Caenorhabditis elegans: one gene and its partners. The protein of the gene in region 1 interacts with the protein of each later gene in a pairwise test. Each region holds a gene or a part of one and is shown on either strand. Other genes may lie near its edges.

Region 1 (4,658 bases):
CATTCAACAAAAACTTGTCGTGTCCAGACCCAGTACCGTTTTTTGGCACGAATTTTCGCGTCTGGGTAGTACTATAAGAAAAACATTCGTTAGCGTTCCGAATCTATTAAGATTTTATCTATCTTTGAAAATAATTGCATAGTTTCGATGTTTGCAGCGCTTTAGAAAACGGAAAAATCCGTTAAACGGTTTTTTAAAGGAGATTTTTTGAAATTCGATTTTTTTAACTTTTAGTTTTGAAAAATCATTATGAAGTAACACTTTACCGGCTGTTCCTCTTCTGGTAGCGGTTGTGGCTGTGTTTGTTGATGTTGCTGTTGAGGGCGTTGATGATTCTTCTTGTTCTTCTTTTTCGGGCCCCCAACAGAGTTCGCGTTTGGCGGCATCTTCTTCGAACTGTGCAGATTATCGATTTGTTCAGAAAATGTGGTGAAGAACAGAACACAAACAGGAACAGATAGGATAGAACGAATGAGAAGAGAGGACAACAAAAAAAAGAGAAAAAATAATCAATAGGAAGATGTGAGAAGATAAAACAACAGAGATTTTGTTTTTCTCAAACTTTCAGGTAGATCAACGATCTATGAGTGTCTGATCCGACAAAGGTGCATTGTTACCAGTGACAGAAAAGCGGCAGAAGAATCGAAATCATGCCCTTCTCTTTCTCTCTTTTCACTTCTCACGTGTGCTAGACATGACATGGGGAGAAAACGACAGAAACTGCAGTTGGTCACGAGGGACTAGAGGGAACAGGCGACGCAGAGAAATGGAGGGAGTTGTGAGGAGGATGGAGAAGAAGGCTTCCATGAGCACCACACTTCTCGCATCTTTTTTGCTGATTTTTCTCACTCCAACTATTTTTCTTTTTTCTTATTTCTTATTGAACTTGACTAGACATCAATCGATTTTTTTAAATGCTCACTGCTCATTTTCTAACTAATGCTTCAATATATTTTCTGAACGAATTCATGGATGCAGAAGTACCAAAGTGTTCATATATTTCTAGCTAAATAATATATAACTTTTGAGTACTATAATAATCTCATATTTCAAAATGATTCATAAGTAAAAGTTTTATCAAAATATGCTAAATAAACTTCTTATAACTACGTTTTCATCTATTAAACTTTCACTTAATAAGATTTAATGCATCTTGTTCCCCATGTTTTTGCATCTGATCATAATTGCTGACAAATCGTGAACGAAGAACAGTGTATTTGTTATATTTACACATTTCAATCTCTCACCACCAACCAATTTCTCTGCCATCTTGGTCGAAAACAAAGTGACGAATTGGCGCATCATTCGATTATATGTGCCCCGTTTTTGACAAATAGTGAAAATTTCAGGGAAAAGAGAAACTTTAAGCTTTATCTTCTAAATAATGGTAGAAATATTTTCCTCAATGTAAAATTCAACTTTCAAAGCCCTCTAACCAAGTTAATCCTTTTCGCGCGCTCTTTTTCAATTCAATACTAATGAAGTTCTGAAAATTTGAACGTCCCCTTTTTTTTAATTTTAACAAGAAGAAAAAATGTAGAAAAACAGATTCAAAATCATTAAATTAGCGGATAAATTCAGAAAAAATGAGAACATGTAAAAGCGCTCCACCGGCCACCGTACCCTGCTGAATGCGGCATTTTCGCGGCGAGACCCGCCACTCTTTTCATTCGTTTTGACCCTGTCGCCTCCAAATATCTTTCGATTTTTGACATGTTTGCTGCTGTTTTTATCAACTTTTCGAGTAATCACGCGATTTAAAGACGTAATTATCAAACTTTCTTTCTAAATTTTCCGTATTTTCACGTTTGTTGATTGACATTATCTCAAAGAGGTAATTCTATTCGTATTGCAGATCTAATTGGGTTGTTTGAGCGATTTCTCGCAACAAATGGACGTAGAAAAGCTTAATCTGGACAATATCATCTCCAGATTATTGGAAGGTATGTGTTTGTCATAGTGTTTATTGAAATTAATCTTAAAATGATTTCCGCTTCAGTCAGAGGATCCAAACCAGGGAAAAATGTTCAACTCACAGAGAGCGAGATCAAGGGGTTGTGCCAGAAGTCTCGTGAAATTTTTCTGAGCCAACCTATTCTTCTCGAGTTGGAAGCTCCGTTGAAAATTTGCGGTAAGTTCTATCGAAAAAAGTTGACGTTTCCTGCTATGAGTCATTTTACTTATTAGTATTTCCTTCCACAGGAAATTGCCGTTTTTATTTTTGATAATATATATTCTGAGAAAATATATTTTTCAGGTGACGTGCACGGACAATACTACGATCTTTTGAGACTGTTCGAGTATGGTGGATTCCCCCCAGAGTCGAACTACTTGTTCCTCGGCGATTATGTGGACCGAGGGAAACAATCGTTGGAAACTATCTGTCTCCTACTTGCATATAAAATCAAGTACCCGGAAAATTTCTTCCTGCTCCGAGGAAACCACGAGTGTGCCTCGATCAACAGAATTTATGGCTTCTATGACGAGTGTAAGAGTTTGATCTGAGATTATCTTAGTACAGATTTATTCAAATCTCATGTTTTTAGGCAAGCGGCGATACAACATCAAACTGTGGAAGACGTTCACCGATTGCTTTAACTGCCTGCCAGTTGCCGCCATCATCGACGAAAAGATCTTCTGCTGTCACGGAGGACTTTCTCCAGATCTTCAGTCTATGGAGCAAATTCGTCGTATCATGAGGCCGACAGACGTACCAGATCAAGGATTGTTGTGCGATCTGTTGTGGTCAGATCCTGATAAAGTTCGTTTGTGAACATAAAATTCAATGAATGATTACCATTTATTTTCAGGATGTCACTGGCTGGGGAGAAAACGACCGAGGCGTCTCTTTCACTTTCGGACCAGAAGTTGTTGCCAAATTCCTGCACAAGCACGATTTGGATTTGATTTGCAGAGCTCACCAGGTATTACTTAAGATTTTCTGCAAAGTTGCGAACCGAGAAATTTTCAGGTTGTGGAAGACGGTTACGAATTCTTCGCTAAGCGGCAGTTGGTTACATTGTTCAGCGCTCCTAATTATTGTGGAGAGTTTGATAACGCGGGATCGATGATGACTGTCGATGAAACACTGATGTGCTCTTTCCAGGTAAACATAGCGGTACCATCTATATAATTTTAAATACTGATAATGCGTATGCATTCACCAATGATGCAATGGTTAAATCAGACGAGTCTATTTTGGCTATCTATTCGAGTTCTTCGAAGAAATTGCCGCTAAGCGGGGTGAAATTGAGGCATTTGTCTGAGGTGATTTATTAAACGCTAAAACTACCTATCAAACATTAAAATAAAACAATTCGGAATATTTTTTTCAGATCTTGAAACCAGCAGACAAGAAGAAATATCCATATGGTGCTGGAGGAGTTGGTTCAAATAGACCAGTCACCCCACCACGAAACGCACCGGCTGCGCAACCAAAGAAGGGTGCCAAGAAGTAATCATCAGTCGATTTATCTATCATCTGTAAATACCTAACCTTTTCTTTGTTGTTCACGCCCCAAGAGGCCTCGGCCATCTCTCGTAAATCGGCTTCAAAAAGTTGTGTACATTAATTTTGATTTTAAACATAGTTTCGAAAAAGTTTAAATTCGATTCATTATGATCTAGGCTGGCACGAGAAGATGCTGTGGTCCCGGCGAATCTCCTCTCAATTCAAGCTTTCGTTGTCAACATCCCTTCCTCTTTATCTCTGTGGACCATTTAGAGCTAATGACTCCTCACCAATTGCTGGCTCAATTTTTCATCAAAACAATCCCCATTTTATTCGTTTTTAAATTCCAAATTTTAATTTTTTTTGCTAAACTTATCTCTTAAAACAGTATCAAATTTTACTTCTCTAAATGGTCTAAATATTTAAAACAAATGTTTATGATGTCAATCAATCTCCACTCCTTTCCTTCCTCCATTCATTCGTCCATCCCGTACTCTTCGTTTCTCAATTTTATATTGTTAAAACCCCCATTTGTCGATTTAATTCATTAAAGTTTTCCGAACAAATAAAATAGAACACTGGTACAAGCGTGTAAGCAATATTTCTTATTACAACGAGTGCAACGTCTCCAAGGAGAGCGTGCGAGACGAACAGACATCCCCCACGACTAGTGCTCCTCGAGCCGTCTCATCGATTTCTGTCGTTTGTCAGTTATTCAGAAATGCTCCGCCCCGGCTCTTCAGTAAGCTATAATAGGTAATCAGAATGAAGAGAAATATTTTTTGAGTTTTTTCGATTGATTTTCCGTGTTTAGCTCAATGAATCAAGTTTCAATAGATGCACACCCGTCAGATCAGGCAATTATTGTACGATTTGAACAATCTCCTAGTAAGTTTTATATTTTTATTTTCAATTGAATGTGTTACGAAGATTATTTGGAAGTTTGATTCAGGTTCTTCAGCAGGAATTTCAATAAAAAAGCGAGCTTCTTCAGCGAACGTTGAGTCTCTTGGCCATCAAAAAATGTAAGAATCTGATATAAAATATAAAATTAAACTGGAATGCAAATCTGCTTAACAAGAAAAATAAAATAAAATATTTTTAAGACCGTATGCCCACGAAGGTGCACGTATTCTTTCGGATGGGTCTCACCGCGAAAAATGTTTATGGTAACACTTTAAATTTTTTCTGTTGCAAAAACCACAAT
Region 2 (5,894 bases), 910 kb from region 1:
ATATATTCTTACTGGTACTTGGAGTACTCGGACCCGCGGATGACTCGAGTTGGGAGCCGTACTATTAAAAGAAATTAACTAATACGAGTGGAAAATTAATTGTTTATTGGTCAATATTTACAACCGATCTCATATTGTCAAATCCAATCATTGCGGCAATTGTGTGCTAACTGTCACCTGTAAAATTTGTAATTTCCTTTGTCATTTACTTTATAAAGAAAAATACCTTAATCTTCGAAAGATCACGTCCGTCAATTATCTCACTGAAAATACGACTCATCATTTGAGCCAGCTTATCTGGCCGTTCGTCAATGATTGGAATGACAGGAGGCATTGCTGCTCTGAACTTTTTGATTTTTTCAATGGTTTCTTTGGAACGATAAGGACCACTGAACACGGATACCTTGTTCTGAAATTGGATGATTAGAAGGATTTACTACAAATTTGAATATTTACTGGAGCATTTTTGACGTTCAGAAGTTCAGCTGAGAACGGTTCATCACTGGCATCCCACTCTCCTTCAGTGCATTCTGGCAGCTGTTCGCCCTTATCTGGAAATTAAACTTTGTATTGTCCAGATGCGAAAACTGTAAAATAGCTTGGAGTTGGGTTACTGTAGTCCTTAAAGCCATACGCCTGTTTTCTAACTAAAAACGCTGCCTAAAAATATTTCGGTCGTGTCGAGACCGGGCACCGTACTTCTCAGCGTAAACTAACAAAATTTCGCATCTGTGTAATATTGAAATTTCATCCTTACCATCATCAGTAATTTGAATCTTCGGCAACTGTCGAATAGATTGCTGAACACTTGGTGCTGGTAGTTCCTCTTCTTTTTCGTCTTTTTTATCTTCTTTCTTTTCTTCTTTGCTTGGTTGCTGCTCTGCCATTTTTTGCCTCTTGATTTTGATTTTATCGTTTTGAAGAATAAAATTATTTCCTTTTCAAAAGATGTTTTTTCTTAATTAAAAGATTTCGAAAAAAAAATGCAATACACGTAATTTTGAGTTTTCACTTATGGAAATGTATTTTACAAATCATTTTCAAATACAAGATGGACAACAAAAAGAAGGAAGAAAATCCTAGTAAATCTGATACTTCTATAAGCCGTGAGTAATATATATAACTTTTCGGTTTTTTTTTTAATAAAAAGTTTTAGTTCCACCAAGCTCAACTGGAGAAGCGCTTCAAAATTATACAGAATCGGAATGGAACGCATCAGATGATCCGTATTCTGCAGAACTTCTCAATGTGAAAAAGAAGCCGGTAATTTTTATTTTTACGTAGATTTTCATTAAAACTTTTCCAGAATCGAGTTAATGTGTTCTCAGCAACTGAGAAGAACATGGAAACTATAATTGTCACTGAAGAATCTCCACCACAAACTCCATTGCCTTTAAGTTGAGAAATCACAAAATTCTGGGAACTTAATTTGTATTGGTTTAGAGCCTGTCGTAGAACACCACAATTTGGCTCGATTGATTCAGAAATCATGTCAATTGCTCTTGGATAAAACTACACCAGATGGAACAGAAGTGCAAATAAAATTAGAATTCCCTGACTGGAGAGATACCGCCTGATTCTCTATGTGTTGAATAAAGCTTAACGGTTAAAAAAAAATTAATTGAAATCTGCCTGAAAAAATATCTAAATACAGTACTCACAAGAGAAACTACGGATTTTGAGAATTCGAATTTCGTAGAAAATATTTTTGCAATGTGTATCAGCTGTAATGGTACATATATTTATTTATTAATATTGAATTTTATCTAATTTTTGAAACAATTGGTTTTTTAAACTATTAAAATTGTATTATACTGCCCCAAGTTAAGGAATTACTCGTAGTGTGCGTTCTACGGAACCGGTGGTGTGTCGAGTGCAGCTTCGCTCCATTGTACAAGTTCAATTTCAAACAGAGATTTGCCGCCAAGCAAAACTGCCTTCGTTTACTTTTCACTTTTTTACTTTTCCCATTTAACGAAGTTTATGCTGCCGTTGTTTTGTTATTTTTTTAATCATAATTTATTACCATTTTTAAAACATATTTACAGCCATGTCGATGGAGCCTCGTAAGAAGCGGAACTCGATTCTCAAGGTGCGGCAAGCCGTCGAAACCATCGAGGAAACCGTCATGAACAGTGGGCCTAGTTCCACAACAACTAATCGACGAGTCAGCTTTCATAACGTGAAGCATGTCAAGTCAGTTAGAGTCAGTGAATAATTTATCAATAAAATAATTATTTCAGGCAGTATGACAGGGACCATGGTAAAATTCTTGACGCCACACCAGTTAAGGAGAAGATTACTGACACTATTGGATCAGATGGTATTTTGACGTGAGTTCCATCCTTTAACGTGAAATAATGAATACGTAAAAATCTTTTTAAGACCACGTGGCGGAAACATGGATATTTCCGAATCTCCGGCCTGCACGTCCTCATTTCAAGTGTTCGGCGGTGGTAATCTCGATAAAACTATGGATATGTCTCTCGAAACAACTATCAACGAGAACAACGAAACGGCGAGATTGTTTGAAACCACAAGAGATCCAACACTATTATACGAAAAGATCGTCGAAACCACAACAAAAGTTACCGAGCGAATTGTTAGTATGCCACTGGATGATACCTTAGCAATGTTCAATACAACGAATCAAGAAGATAAGGATATGTCAGTTGATCGTTCAGTTCTTTTCACGATTCCCAAAGTTCCGAAGCATAACGCTACAATGAATAGAACTATACCGATGGACCTCGATGAATCAAAAGCAGCGGGCGGCCAGTGCGATGAAACGGTATGTTGAATTAATAGAAGGAACCAAATTATCTTAATTTTACAGATGAATGTGTTCAATTTCACAAACTTGGAAGCCGCTGAAATGGATACGAGTAAATTAGATGAAAATAATACCATGAATGCTATCCGGATTCCGATTAATTCAAACGTCATGCCTGTAGACATGGACATCACTGAACATCACACTTTAATTGAAGAAAAGAAAAATGATACATTCGGGCCAAGTCAACTGATGGACATTTCGGCGCCACAAGTTCAAGTTAATGATACTTTGGCCATTTTCAACAGTCCGAGAGACATCTGTAATAAGGGTTTGGGTGTTCCTCAGAATCTAATAAATATCGCCTCGAACGTCGTACCTGTGGACATGGACATCACTGATCAGGCCGTATTAAACGCGGAGAAGAAAAATGATCAATTCGAGACAAGTCAGCTTATGGACATTTCTATTCCGAAAGTTCTAGTAAATGACACTATGGCGATGTTCAACAGCCCGAAACACGTCAGTAAGAGCAGCATGGATCTCGAGAAAACGATTGAAGCCGCTGACAAATCAACGAAATACCCGAGTATCGCAGATGAGGTGGAAGATTTAGACATGGATATGGATATCACTGAACAACAACCATGTGAGGCTGGTAATCAGCAGAACGACGGCTTGCAACTTCAAAAGGAGGATTTAATGGACATTTCGGTGATTCGAGATTCACCTGCAGTAAACGACACCATGGCTGTGTTCCAGAGTCCTGCCAGAGTAAAGATCGGAGCGGTAAGTTTTAAGCACACTTTCCAATAAAAATGTATTTCTTTCAGAACAACTCGATCATTGATTCGCAGAAATCTATCGTGTTCGGTGACGAAATGAGCATTGACGAGACACAAAATGATGGAACCTTGACGTTGCCAAAGTCGAATGTAGAAGTGACTACAACTAATGATGTCTACACGTCTCTCGAGCGGCAAGAGGAAAATGCTTCAGAAAACGTATCCATGATAAACGAATCTTCTGTTCATTCGGAAATCGACAAAAAGTCGTTTATGCTCATCGAAGAAGAAAGGGCTTTTATGCACTCCTCCATGATTGATGTAGCACAAAAGTTGGAAGACGATGGTTCGTCGAAGACGCCAGTCATCCTTGCTTCACAGTCAGCTTCTCTTGCCACTAAAGAACCATCAGCCCTTCACAACTCGAGTGCAACTCTCAACAATTCGATGGAATTGGACAACAATACTCTTCTTAAAACTATGCAAATTACAACGTGTGAAGACATTAGCATGGTCCATGAGTCTATTGCTGTTGAACTGAACAGTAACAAAGAGCAGGAGCAATTCGGAGATGAGACTTTGCAGAAAAATGGTAAATTTCGTTTATTCAATAACTCTATTAAAAGTATGTTTTAGATACCTCGAATACTGGCGCGAATTTCACATTCCAAGGCCATAATGAAACATCGCAAATCATGAACAATGTCGACTCGGAAGCAGTGAACACGTCCAAGATTTCAACATATTCGGCTTTCAATTTGAGCATCAACCAGTCTATCTCTAAACGACGTCGATCTCTTCTGAATTCTGCTCGTGAATCTCCTCGTCGTGTTGCGTTGGAGAATTCTATAATGTCGATGAATGGGCAAACAATGGAAGCTCTGACAGAATATCGACAGAATAAAACTATGCAGACGAGTCAAGATTCGATGCCGAGTATGAGTTTGAACGATTCGGGAAGAGATATTCTCGCGATGGTAAGAATATCTCTTTGAGTATTGAATCGAAAATGTCTTTCAGAATACATCAGTCCGCTCTCCTCATCTGAATTCTTCAAAAACTGCTGCCCCAGGAACACCATCATTGATGTCACAAAATGTACAACTTCCACCTCCATCTCCTCAATTCGAAATGCCAGACTTCGATCCAGCTGTGGTCAACGTTGTATATTTAACATCTGAAGATCCGTCCACTGAACAACATCCAGAAGCTCTCAAATTTCAGCGTATTGTTGAAAACGAGAAAATGAAAGTACAACACGAGATTGATTCTCTGAATTCAACCAATCAACTTTCTGCTGAGAAAATTGATATGTTGAAGACTAAGGAGCTCTTGAAGTTTAGTCATGATGAGCGAGAAGCGATTATGATTGCAAGAAAAGACGCGGAAATCAAGTTTTTGGAGCTTCGTCTGAAATTTGCACTCGAGAAAAAAATTGAAAGTGACCAGGAAATTGCTGAACTAGAACAAGGAAATTCGAAAATGGCTGAGCAGCTAAGAGGTCTCGATAAGATGGCTGTCGTTCAAAAAGAACTAGAAAAGCTGAGAAGTCTTCCTCCATCACGCGAAGAGAGCGGGAAAATCCGAAAGGAGTGGATGGAGATGAAGCAATGGGAATTCGACCAGAAAATGAAAGCACTCCGAAATGTACGCTCAAACATGATTGCACTTCGTTCAGAGAAAAATGCTCTCGAAATGAAAGTCGCGGAAGAACACGAGAAGTTTGCCCAGAGGAACGATTTGAAGAAAAGTCGAATGCTGGTGTTCTCTAAGGCTGTTAAGAAAATTGTGAACTTCTAGTGAGTTTAATATCGAAAAATTAACAGTCAAAAATTATAATTTTAGATGCCGCCTTCACCCTTCCCTTGCATCAGGCCTACAATACTTCTGATGCTCATATAATTCTTTACCTAATGTGCCATATATTTTAGTTTTTTTTTCATCTAAAAATACCCATTGTGCATCAACCGCACTTGCTGTATTTCCTTCAAGATGTTTACCTTTTCCCCTATACATTTATGCCTCAGAGCAATCACAAAGTTATGTTTTTATTCCTAGTTCATTCTCAATCAATCTAAAGGAGACTTATGGTTTGAATAGTCAAATGAATAAATATTCCTTGTAACCAAATTTTTTTGTAGCCGTGTTTTTTTTTGTAAAATGAAGTTATTGTGCGTTTAAAAATCGGAGTTTAAAAAATCGGAGCTTCAGTCTCCTCTCTTAAAAATAATTTTAGCTTACTATTTACTACTGTAGTTCCAAATAGAATATACATAATAAGGCGGGTAGGCAAGAGTTTGACACCTCGGGAGGTACATAGGTACGTAGGTGAGCAG
Region 3 (7,673 bases), 2.6 Mb from region 1:
GAGCTCTCGCTTTTTCTAGGCCACGTTGCAAAAAAATCGATAATAAAACGTACCGGATTCGCGGCAATTCCATAAGCCAACCGCTCTCGGCGTTCCTTCTCCTCATCCTCGTGCTGCTGATCGTCTTGTTCTTCTCGCTTCCTAGCCGCCATCTGCTCAGCGATGAGCTCCTCAAAATATTTCTTCTGCTCCTGAAAAGAAGGTTTCGTATGTTGAAAGTTGTCCACGTGTAGTACGCAATTCGCTTTTCATTAAATATAACTTAAATCAATAAAAAGCTAGGCCACTGGCAAAATTTCACTTACCCTCGCCTTCTGATCCTCGAGGTAGAAATACAAAAAAATGTGGAAAATGACGAAGGCGATCAGGATGCCATATCCGATGTACTTCGGCGTGTCCTTGTGAACATTGATCGTGTATGCACATGACGGGCAGTGTGTGCCGTTTCCATTTTTGCAGGTTTGAGGGCTCGCCGAGCTCACAAGAGCAAGCTGCGTCGTATTGGCGGCAGGAGCGGTCACGTTTACATTTTTCGTCGGATTGCCGGCAGGAGCGGTCGCATTAGGACTTTTTGCCGAATTGCCGGCAGGAGCGGTCACGTTTGAAGTGTTCGTAGCGGCGGAAACAGGCACATTTGGTGTGGTGGTTGTTGGCTGAAAAATGGTGAAACATTATGGTCTAGAAAAATCGAAGGATGTCTAGGCAACTCACCAATACATGAACTATTAATCCGAAGATTACCAATGAAAACAAAATACGCAAAATACGCATTTTTGAGTGACGCGTGTGTCGGAGAGAAACCGATTTCACAAACTAATTTAAGTTATAATTTGTTTATTTCAATCGCTACGTGTGCCGTGTGCCACGTGGCCACGCGTGAGTAGGGGCGGGGCCTATTTCGCAACCACCGCACACTTTTTTCGCAAGCCTCGCACGTTTTTCCATGATATTGTTGCATTTTTCAAAAGAAAAAACGTGCGAGGCTTGCGAAAAAAGTGTGCGGTGGCTGCGAATAGGTCCCGCCCCTGCATCCTGTTTTGGGTTCCTTTTTGTTTGTTTTTTTTTCGCGGATGGTTAATTTTGTTTTCGAAGAATTTCTCGTAAAAAGTTCCTTTACAATTAGTCAAATTTTATTCACTCAATAAACAAGGTTTTTCTTCAAAAAATACAAGGTTTCGCGATGCGCCTATCATTTTATCATTTCTTGAGTAAAACAGTCTTTACGCTCGTTGCTCCAAAAAATGTATGTTTCTTAAGGGTTTCCATTAATTTTTTAGAAGTCATTTGAAAATGCTAAAAAGTTGGTTTACGTCATTTTAAGTATGTGCTTCTCTTAAGATAATGATGTAATATGGATTATATTCCAATTTAAATCATTCAAATTGATTTTTTTCATTTAAGAATTCCATTCAATTTCTACATTCTTCGTTGCGTCTTCTAACCTTTGCAAGCATTTTCCATTTTCGCTTGTTTTCGCAGTCCGTATGTTTCCGTTGCGGTGTTTGCGTATTGGTGAAAACAAATTTTCCCGGTCGTTTGAATGTAGTCGGACGAGCCCTTATTTTAAGCTACGCACTTCTAAAACCACTTATTTTAATTGATAATTTCTTTGTCTCACTTCTTTAAATGTTATTTATTAGCTGCGATGTGCAAAGGTTTATTTTTTTTCAGAATGGATAATGAAAATTCGTCCATTTTCAAATCATATCAAGGATACGAGTGTTGGAGGGGAGAAAAGCAAATTATTTTGAAGGATTCAATTGGTATTTCATATTTCTATCGATTCAACATTATTCTATTCATTCAGGTCGTCAACTTCCCTACATTGTGAATTTTAAAAAGAATACGTGTCAAATATTCGATATCGAATGGGAACGCGTAACTCACTCGTTCGTTTTCCCTGAAGGATGTGCTTTGATCGATGCGGACTATTTTCCAACAGAAGGTAAGTTTTTTATTACTATCATATTTTCTTTATTGATTTCAAAATATTTTATTTACAGAAGGAAAGCTCGGAATTCTTGTTGGTGTTGAAGATCCTCGTCAGTCGTGCGGTGCCGAGCACTTTGTTCTTGCATTGGCAGTTGATCCGGATTCACCAGCCATGACAATCACACACTCACTGGAAGTTCCATCGAAAATTACAGTTGTGAAGACGCTTTTTTCGTCTGCCGACATGGCTGATGAAACACAGAGAACAGTTTTAAAGCTCTATCATCGACTGATGACGTGGCAGCATATTGTGGCAATTGGTAATAAATCAAATTTGAATGAAAACTTTGCAAATTTACATTCCAGGTTGCAAGGAGACACAATGCTACTTAGCTCGTTTAGTTGCTGTTGAGACGCCGTCAAGTCCTGTCATCACAGTTCACAGTGAGAAAAAGTATTTGATCAACCTAATGAGTAAGTTTCCCGAAGATTAAACAAATTTGATTAGTGTGTTTCAGATGCTTACGTCAGCGGTTCAGTTCTTCAGTACACTTTGGACGATGGAGCATATCGTGAATACCCAACCGCCGCCGTGTATATCTCAGCGTTATCGTTGATGCCAAGAAGTCGAACTCTTCTTGTCGGTTTATCGATGGGAGGCATTCTGGCAGCTTCATTGAATCCTTCAAATCAGATGATGCTTTTGGAATTGAGACACGAACGACTTGTCAGAAAAATTGCTCCATTAGAACCAGAAGATGATCCCGACAAATTTGAGTATTTCATCGCCACTGTTGATTGTTCACCTCGTCATCCAATCATGATTCAACTTTGGCGTGGATCTTTCAAAACTCTCGAGGATGTTGATGGAGAAGAAAAGTACGACCGTCCATCATTCAGTGTTTGTCTAGAACATAAGATTTTGTTCGGAGAAAGATGGTTGGCTGTGAATCCTATTGTTACTGAAAGAGATCATATGATGCTCACAAGAAAGCGAGGAACGGAAGATTCGATGCACAATGTTTCTCAGACATTCGGATCAACTTCTAATCGAAACTCTGTTCTTTTGGCATACGAACGAAAGAAGATGGTGATCGGCACAGAAGACCCGAATGCTGAACCAGAATACATTGTGGAAGCAGCTATTTTTGATATAGATTCATGGTACTACAAAAGAGTTCCCGGTCGAGTATCTACAGATGGAACTGTTCTCAAGCAATGTGCATTCTTATCAACTATAAAGTCTAACATCCGATCAGAAGATGTAAATGACATCGGAATTCTTACAAATGAGGCCACTGATGTATCCAGCTTCTCTAGCATGGTTTCAGACGCAGATCAACTGTTTTATCCGTCAGCATTAAGCTTCGAAAGGGTTTTTGTTGCCAAGAATACCAGAATTGACTGGATGAAGATCCAGAACATCCAGGACACGGTAAATTTATCGGCATTGAGATTGTTTTTATTCCGGTTTTTTTTTCAGATTTTGAACAAATGCGCCGTCAAACTGCCTGCTCTCATCAGGAATCCCGAAATGATTTCCAGCGTTGTTATGGCAGCTGGTTTAGTGAGAAAAAATATTCTGTCTGGATCTCCCAATTCGGTGAGCTTATTTTTTAAAGTTAAATTGATGAAATTGTTTTCAGAGCGCCGCAGAAATAAACGAACTTCAATTATCGTCTGATCAAAAGGTTCTTCTCAACGTTATCGTCTACTACGGAAAAATTGAAGAGTTTTGTCAATTGGCATCTCGTCCTGACATTAGTGACACGCTAAAACGGGAATTAGCAGAATGGGCACTTCACGAAGCTGTTGACTACAAGAGAACTATTTCTGACAAGATGGTTTCACTCTTCCAGGGAAGATCACTTGCTCTCTCTCCACTAGCAGAAGAATCTATTGCACAGGGAATCAAGCTTTTCCGAGTTGTTTACGAATATCTGAAAGCCTGTTCAAAAGCGTTAAAAGATGATCGACTTCGCAATTTGGCCCATTCTGTGATATGTATGAGAAACCATACGAAACTTACCAGCCAATTCATCAATTTTGCCATCATTCCTGTAGACCCGATCAGACAGCAAAGAATGAAGGATTTACATTCAAAGAGAAAAAATATGGCGAGAAAGAACTCGTGAGTTTAGAAAAATCCTTTTTAAGAAAAAGTTATACGATTAAATTATTCAGATCATCTCTACCCGTTCAATCAGTCGTTCGAAAAATGAATCGTCAAGCTCCAAATGCTCAATTCTGGAACGATATTCCACATGACGAATGGTATCCGCCAACACCTCTCGATTTGCTGGAATGCCTGCTGAATGTTTCGATTTCTGAGAGTATTAAACGAGAACTCGTTGTCCAATATGTCATTGATTGGATTTCCACATCTCCTGAAGATTCTGAACACAGCGAAAAACAATTGGCACTTGAAACTATCAAAATCATGACAAATCAAATGCTTAACGTTAACTTGGAGAAAATTTATTACATTCTGGACCAAGGAAAGAAGGCTTTAACAAGCAGCAAGACATCGGATGATATGAGAGCACTTGGAGAGAAAGTATTCTCAATGAAAGATGACGAGATTAGTTATGAGAAATTGTGGGGAAAAGATGCTCCGATGACAGTGACAATCGGAAAACACGATTTACAGCGATTTGAACAACGAATGAAAATGCAAATGGAAGGTGGAAAAGTTAGATGTGAGATAGATTTTCAGTCTCATTTCCAATTAATTTTTTTTAATTTCCAGTGCCAGTTCTCGATCCGGAATCTGAGATTCTCTACCAAATGTTTCTCTTTGAAAACGAAAAGTTTGAAGCAATGTCATCAGAAGCGATTAGTTCCAACAAATTGCTATCGGCTTTCCTGCCAGGAATGATCAAGAAGGATGGAAGAGGTCGTCAGAAGACTGCGAAAGAACAGGAAATCGAAATTTCAGTTAAGAAAATGTTTGAGAGAAAGGTGCAAAACGACGACGAAGATATGCCTGAAGTTTTCGCTTCTGTCAATGACAAAACAGAAAGAAAGCGGAAATCAAGTCAGTTTGGTGAAGACGATGAGAGTAGTGTTTCGTCATCACAATATGTGCCACCTGTAAGATTATTGCAGTTAAATAGTACAAACCAAGATTCTGAAATTTACAGACCGCGAAGAGAATTCAACAGTGGAAGAGTGCCGTCGAATCTGTTGCCAACAATTCGAGTATCAACAGTATCACAAGTCCGGATTCTCACCAAAATGCAGAAATCAATATGATGATTGCAACACCGGCACGGTATTACAAGCGACATAATGAGGAGGAAAATGTTCAAGATGGATTTCTATCGCCCGCTGGAAACAGACCGCCGCCAGTCTCTGCTCACAACAGTATTCTGAAAACAGCTAAAGGTGGCCAATCGGCTAGTCGAGGCCGTATCCGATTCCGTGCTGACGTTCCAAGAGGTGCTGACGAGAGTATTGAAGACAATGGTCGGAAAGGCCTTGCATTGAACTTTGCAATTCTTGAAGATGAAGAAGAGGAAACCATGACTATTAGAAAATCACGGTCTATGGGAAAACATGACGAGGAGAAGGATTCAGAGAAAAATGTAGTGGATGAGATGGAAGAAGTAAAAGATCAAGAACAAGAAAACGATGAATGCATTGAAAGTGAGAAAACTTTCGAAAACCAAGACGATTTCGAGGTTCTCGAAGATACATCTGCTCCAGAAGCTGCAAATACAGAAAATGGTTCGGAAACTCCTCCCATGGAAGATACGTTTGAAGTACGAGATGATGACGTCATGCCACCAACCGATGAGACATATTTGAGTCATTTACAAACCGATAAAACGGGTATTCTTGAGGAGGAAGGTGAAGATGAAGATATATGGGATGGAGTTCAAAGATCTTTCGAGGTTCAAATGGATGAGGATTGTGAAGCTGTACCAACGATTGATGTAGCCGATGATTTGGAGAGTAAATCTGAAGAAGTGAATGAAGAAGAGGTAGTTGAATCTGAAGAAGTTCAGCAAGATGCGAAAGAACCTGAAAAAACTGAAAAACGACAGGAAGAGCCAGAACCTGAAGTTATGCAGCCAGTGATTCCGGAAGAGCCTCAAAACGAATCTCTCGAATCGTCTATTAAACTGCAGGAAGAGTTACAGGAAGAGCCTGACATAGTTCCGACAGGTGATGAAGATACCGCGGATAAAGTTCAAGAACAAGCTGTTGAGGAAGATAGACCACCATCTGTAAGATACCATAAAATAAAATTTGAGGAAAAACGGCAATAATTGTATATTTCAGAGAAACACTCGCTCATCATCTGTCCAGAAGTCTACTTCACAAGTGGAAGACCGGGATCCGAAAGAACTTGTCGAGGAAGAAAGACCTCCATCTGTCAGTTTCGTCATCAATTTGACAGACAGAAATAAAATTTATGTTTTCAGAGAAACACTCGTTCTGCGTCTGTTCAAAAATCATCTAACCAAGAGAAAACTTCGGAATCAGGAGAAGTCACGGAAGAAGATAGACCACCATCCGTGAGTTGTTTTTAAAATTTGAAATTTATATGTGTATTTTTCTAGAGAAATACGCGGTCGGCATCTGTTCAAAAATCTTCATCAAAGGTAAAAGACCAGAAGCCAGAGGAACTCATCGAGGAAGATAGACCTCCATCAGTAAGTCTCTCGTGATTTCTTTAAAAATTTAGTTCAATATTTCCAGAGAAATACTCGATCCGCATCAGCCCAGAAGACAGTGGCAGCAAATAAATCTGTTTTGGAGTCTGAAATTCCAAGTCGTTCAGCGTCACGAAGAACTCGCTCCACATCGCTTAGGAATGATACTGTTGCCGAACCAGATGAGACGTCGGTTGCGATGACAACTCGGCGTCGGACTCGGGCAACTTCTGAGGTTGTTAGCAAGCAGTCGTCTGAAGATGATGGAAGATCGACACCAAAAACCGGAAGAACTCCCACGAAAAAGGCTGCAGCTAGTACATCTTCTAGTAGAGCTGGAAGTGTAACTGTACGTTGTTTAATCGTTTAATCATACAACTATTCGAACATTTTCAGCGCGGTAAAAAATCGATCATCCAAAAGATGCCATCCCCGCTAGAGGTTACAATGGAAGTTCAAGAAGAAGAAGAAGAAGAAGCGGAGGAGGAACGGCCTGCATCAAGAAGCACTCGCTCTGCATCTGTCAAAAATACAACTGTTGACCCATCGTCATCTGCACTTGCTTCTACCAAACGTACAACTTCTAGAAAGAGGGGCAATTCGGAAACGATCGACTTTAATCAGGACGACAAATCGGCACCGACGACGCCAAAAAGAGGAAGACCCGCCAAAAAGGATGCAGGATCTCCTAAAGTTGGAAGTAAAGCTGTAAGCATTTTTAATTATTTTTTTGAATTAAAAATGTTGTATTCATAAATTGTAAATTGATTTGTTTTCGTTTCAGCGTGGCACCAAGCCTAAATCGATATTCGAAAATCAAGAAGATGAAGAAGATCGTTCATCCTCTCCAGATATCGAACAACCAGCCACACCTACACGGTCTTCCAAACGAACGGCTAGATCCAGAGCAAATTCCGAATCGATCGATGATGATAGCAAGCAGAAGACCCCAAAAAAGAAAAATGCCGCGGTTAATGAAGCTGGTACCAGTAAACAGTCTAGAAGTGTGACGGTATGATCCCAAAACATAATTTTTTTTCAAAATTATTATTTTCAGAGATCTCGAGCATCATCTATTGA

Evidence for each region.
Region 2: the proteins of gsp-2 (region 1) and knl-1 interact in a two-hybrid assay, tested with the Caenorhabditis elegans proteins (2 studies listed by BioGRID).
Region 3: the proteins of gsp-2 (region 1) and mel-28 interact in a two-hybrid assay, tested with the Caenorhabditis elegans proteins (one study listed by BioGRID).

Annotation. Positions count from the first base shown.
Region 1 is NC_003281.10:7,334,732-7,339,389, forward strand, and holds gsp-2 (Serine/threonine-protein phosphatase PP1-beta), read left to right. Parts: upstream 1-1,855; 5' UTR 1,856-1,891; coding exon 1,892-1,943; intron 1,944-1,999; coding exon 2,000-2,131; intron 2,132-2,257; coding exon 2,258-2,488; intron 2,489-2,546; coding exon 2,547-2,761; intron 2,762-2,810; coding exon 2,811-2,924; intron 2,925-2,971; coding exon 2,972-3,106; intron 3,107-3,160; exon of another isoform or gene 3,161-3,271; intron 3,272-3,335; coding exon 3,336-3,458; 3' UTR 3,459-4,034; downstream 4,035-4,658. Other genes in the region: F56C9.10 (BCAS3 WD40 domain-containing protein), read right to left, coding at 267-386; kap-1 (Kinesin-associated protein), read left to right, coding at 4,270-4,339, 4,404-4,476. UniProt on the Caenorhabditis elegans protein: Serine/threonine-protein phosphatase essential for chromosomal dynamics during meiosis and mitosis. During meiosis, promotes chromosomal cohesion and germline immortality via a small RNA-mediated genome silencing pathway.
Region 2 is NC_003281.10:8,248,586-8,254,479, forward strand, and holds knl-1 (Outer kinetochore KNL1 complex subunit knl-1), read left to right. Parts: upstream 1-2,046; 5' UTR 2,047-2,050; coding exon 2,051-2,196; intron 2,197-2,243; coding exon 2,244-2,333; intron 2,334-2,385; coding exon 2,386-2,791; intron 2,792-2,836; coding exon 2,837-3,562; intron 3,563-3,606; coding exon 3,607-4,150; intron 4,151-4,194; coding exon 4,195-4,535; intron 4,536-4,578; coding exon 4,579-5,358; downstream 5,359-5,894. Other genes in the region: TM2 domain-containing protein C02F5.13, read left to right, coding at 1-68; C02F5.10 (uncharacterized protein), read right to left, coding at 148-177, 227-409, 457-551, 758-887; C02F5.2 (DUF5356 domain-containing protein), read left to right, coding at 1,052-1,106, 1,157-1,263, 1,307-1,397, 1,444-1,577. UniProt on the Caenorhabditis elegans protein: Acts as a component of the outer kinetochore KNL1 complex that serves as a docking point for spindle assembly checkpoint components and mediates microtubule-kinetochore interactions.
Region 3 is NC_003281.10:4,784,409-4,792,081, forward strand, and holds the start of mel-28 (Protein mel-28), read left to right. Parts: upstream 1-1,671; 5' UTR 1,672-1,672; coding exon 1,673-1,763; intron 1,764-1,807; coding exon 1,808-1,945; intron 1,946-2,003; coding exon 2,004-2,252; intron 2,253-2,298; coding exon 2,299-2,406; intron 2,407-2,450; coding exon 2,451-3,367; intron 3,368-3,415; coding exon 3,416-3,535; intron 3,536-3,578; coding exon 3,579-4,063; intron 4,064-4,116; coding exon 4,117-4,631; intron 4,632-4,681; coding exon 4,682-5,025; intron 5,026-5,075; coding exon 5,076-6,164; intron 6,165-6,219; coding exon 6,220-6,312; intron 6,313-6,362; coding exon 6,363-6,455; intron 6,456-6,500; coding exon 6,501-6,593; intron 6,594-6,639; coding exon 6,640-6,942; intron 6,943-6,989; coding exon 6,990-7,301; intron 7,302-7,377; coding exon 7,378-7,605; intron 7,606-7,650; coding exon 7,651-7,673. Other genes in the region: enu-3.2 (ENhancer of Uncoordination), read right to left, coding at 54-191, 306-653, 712-771. UniProt on the Caenorhabditis elegans protein: Nuclear envelope protein which has essential roles in assembly of nuclear pore complexes and in chromatin maintenance during the cell cycle. Appears to be a stable structural component of the nuclear envelope during interphase.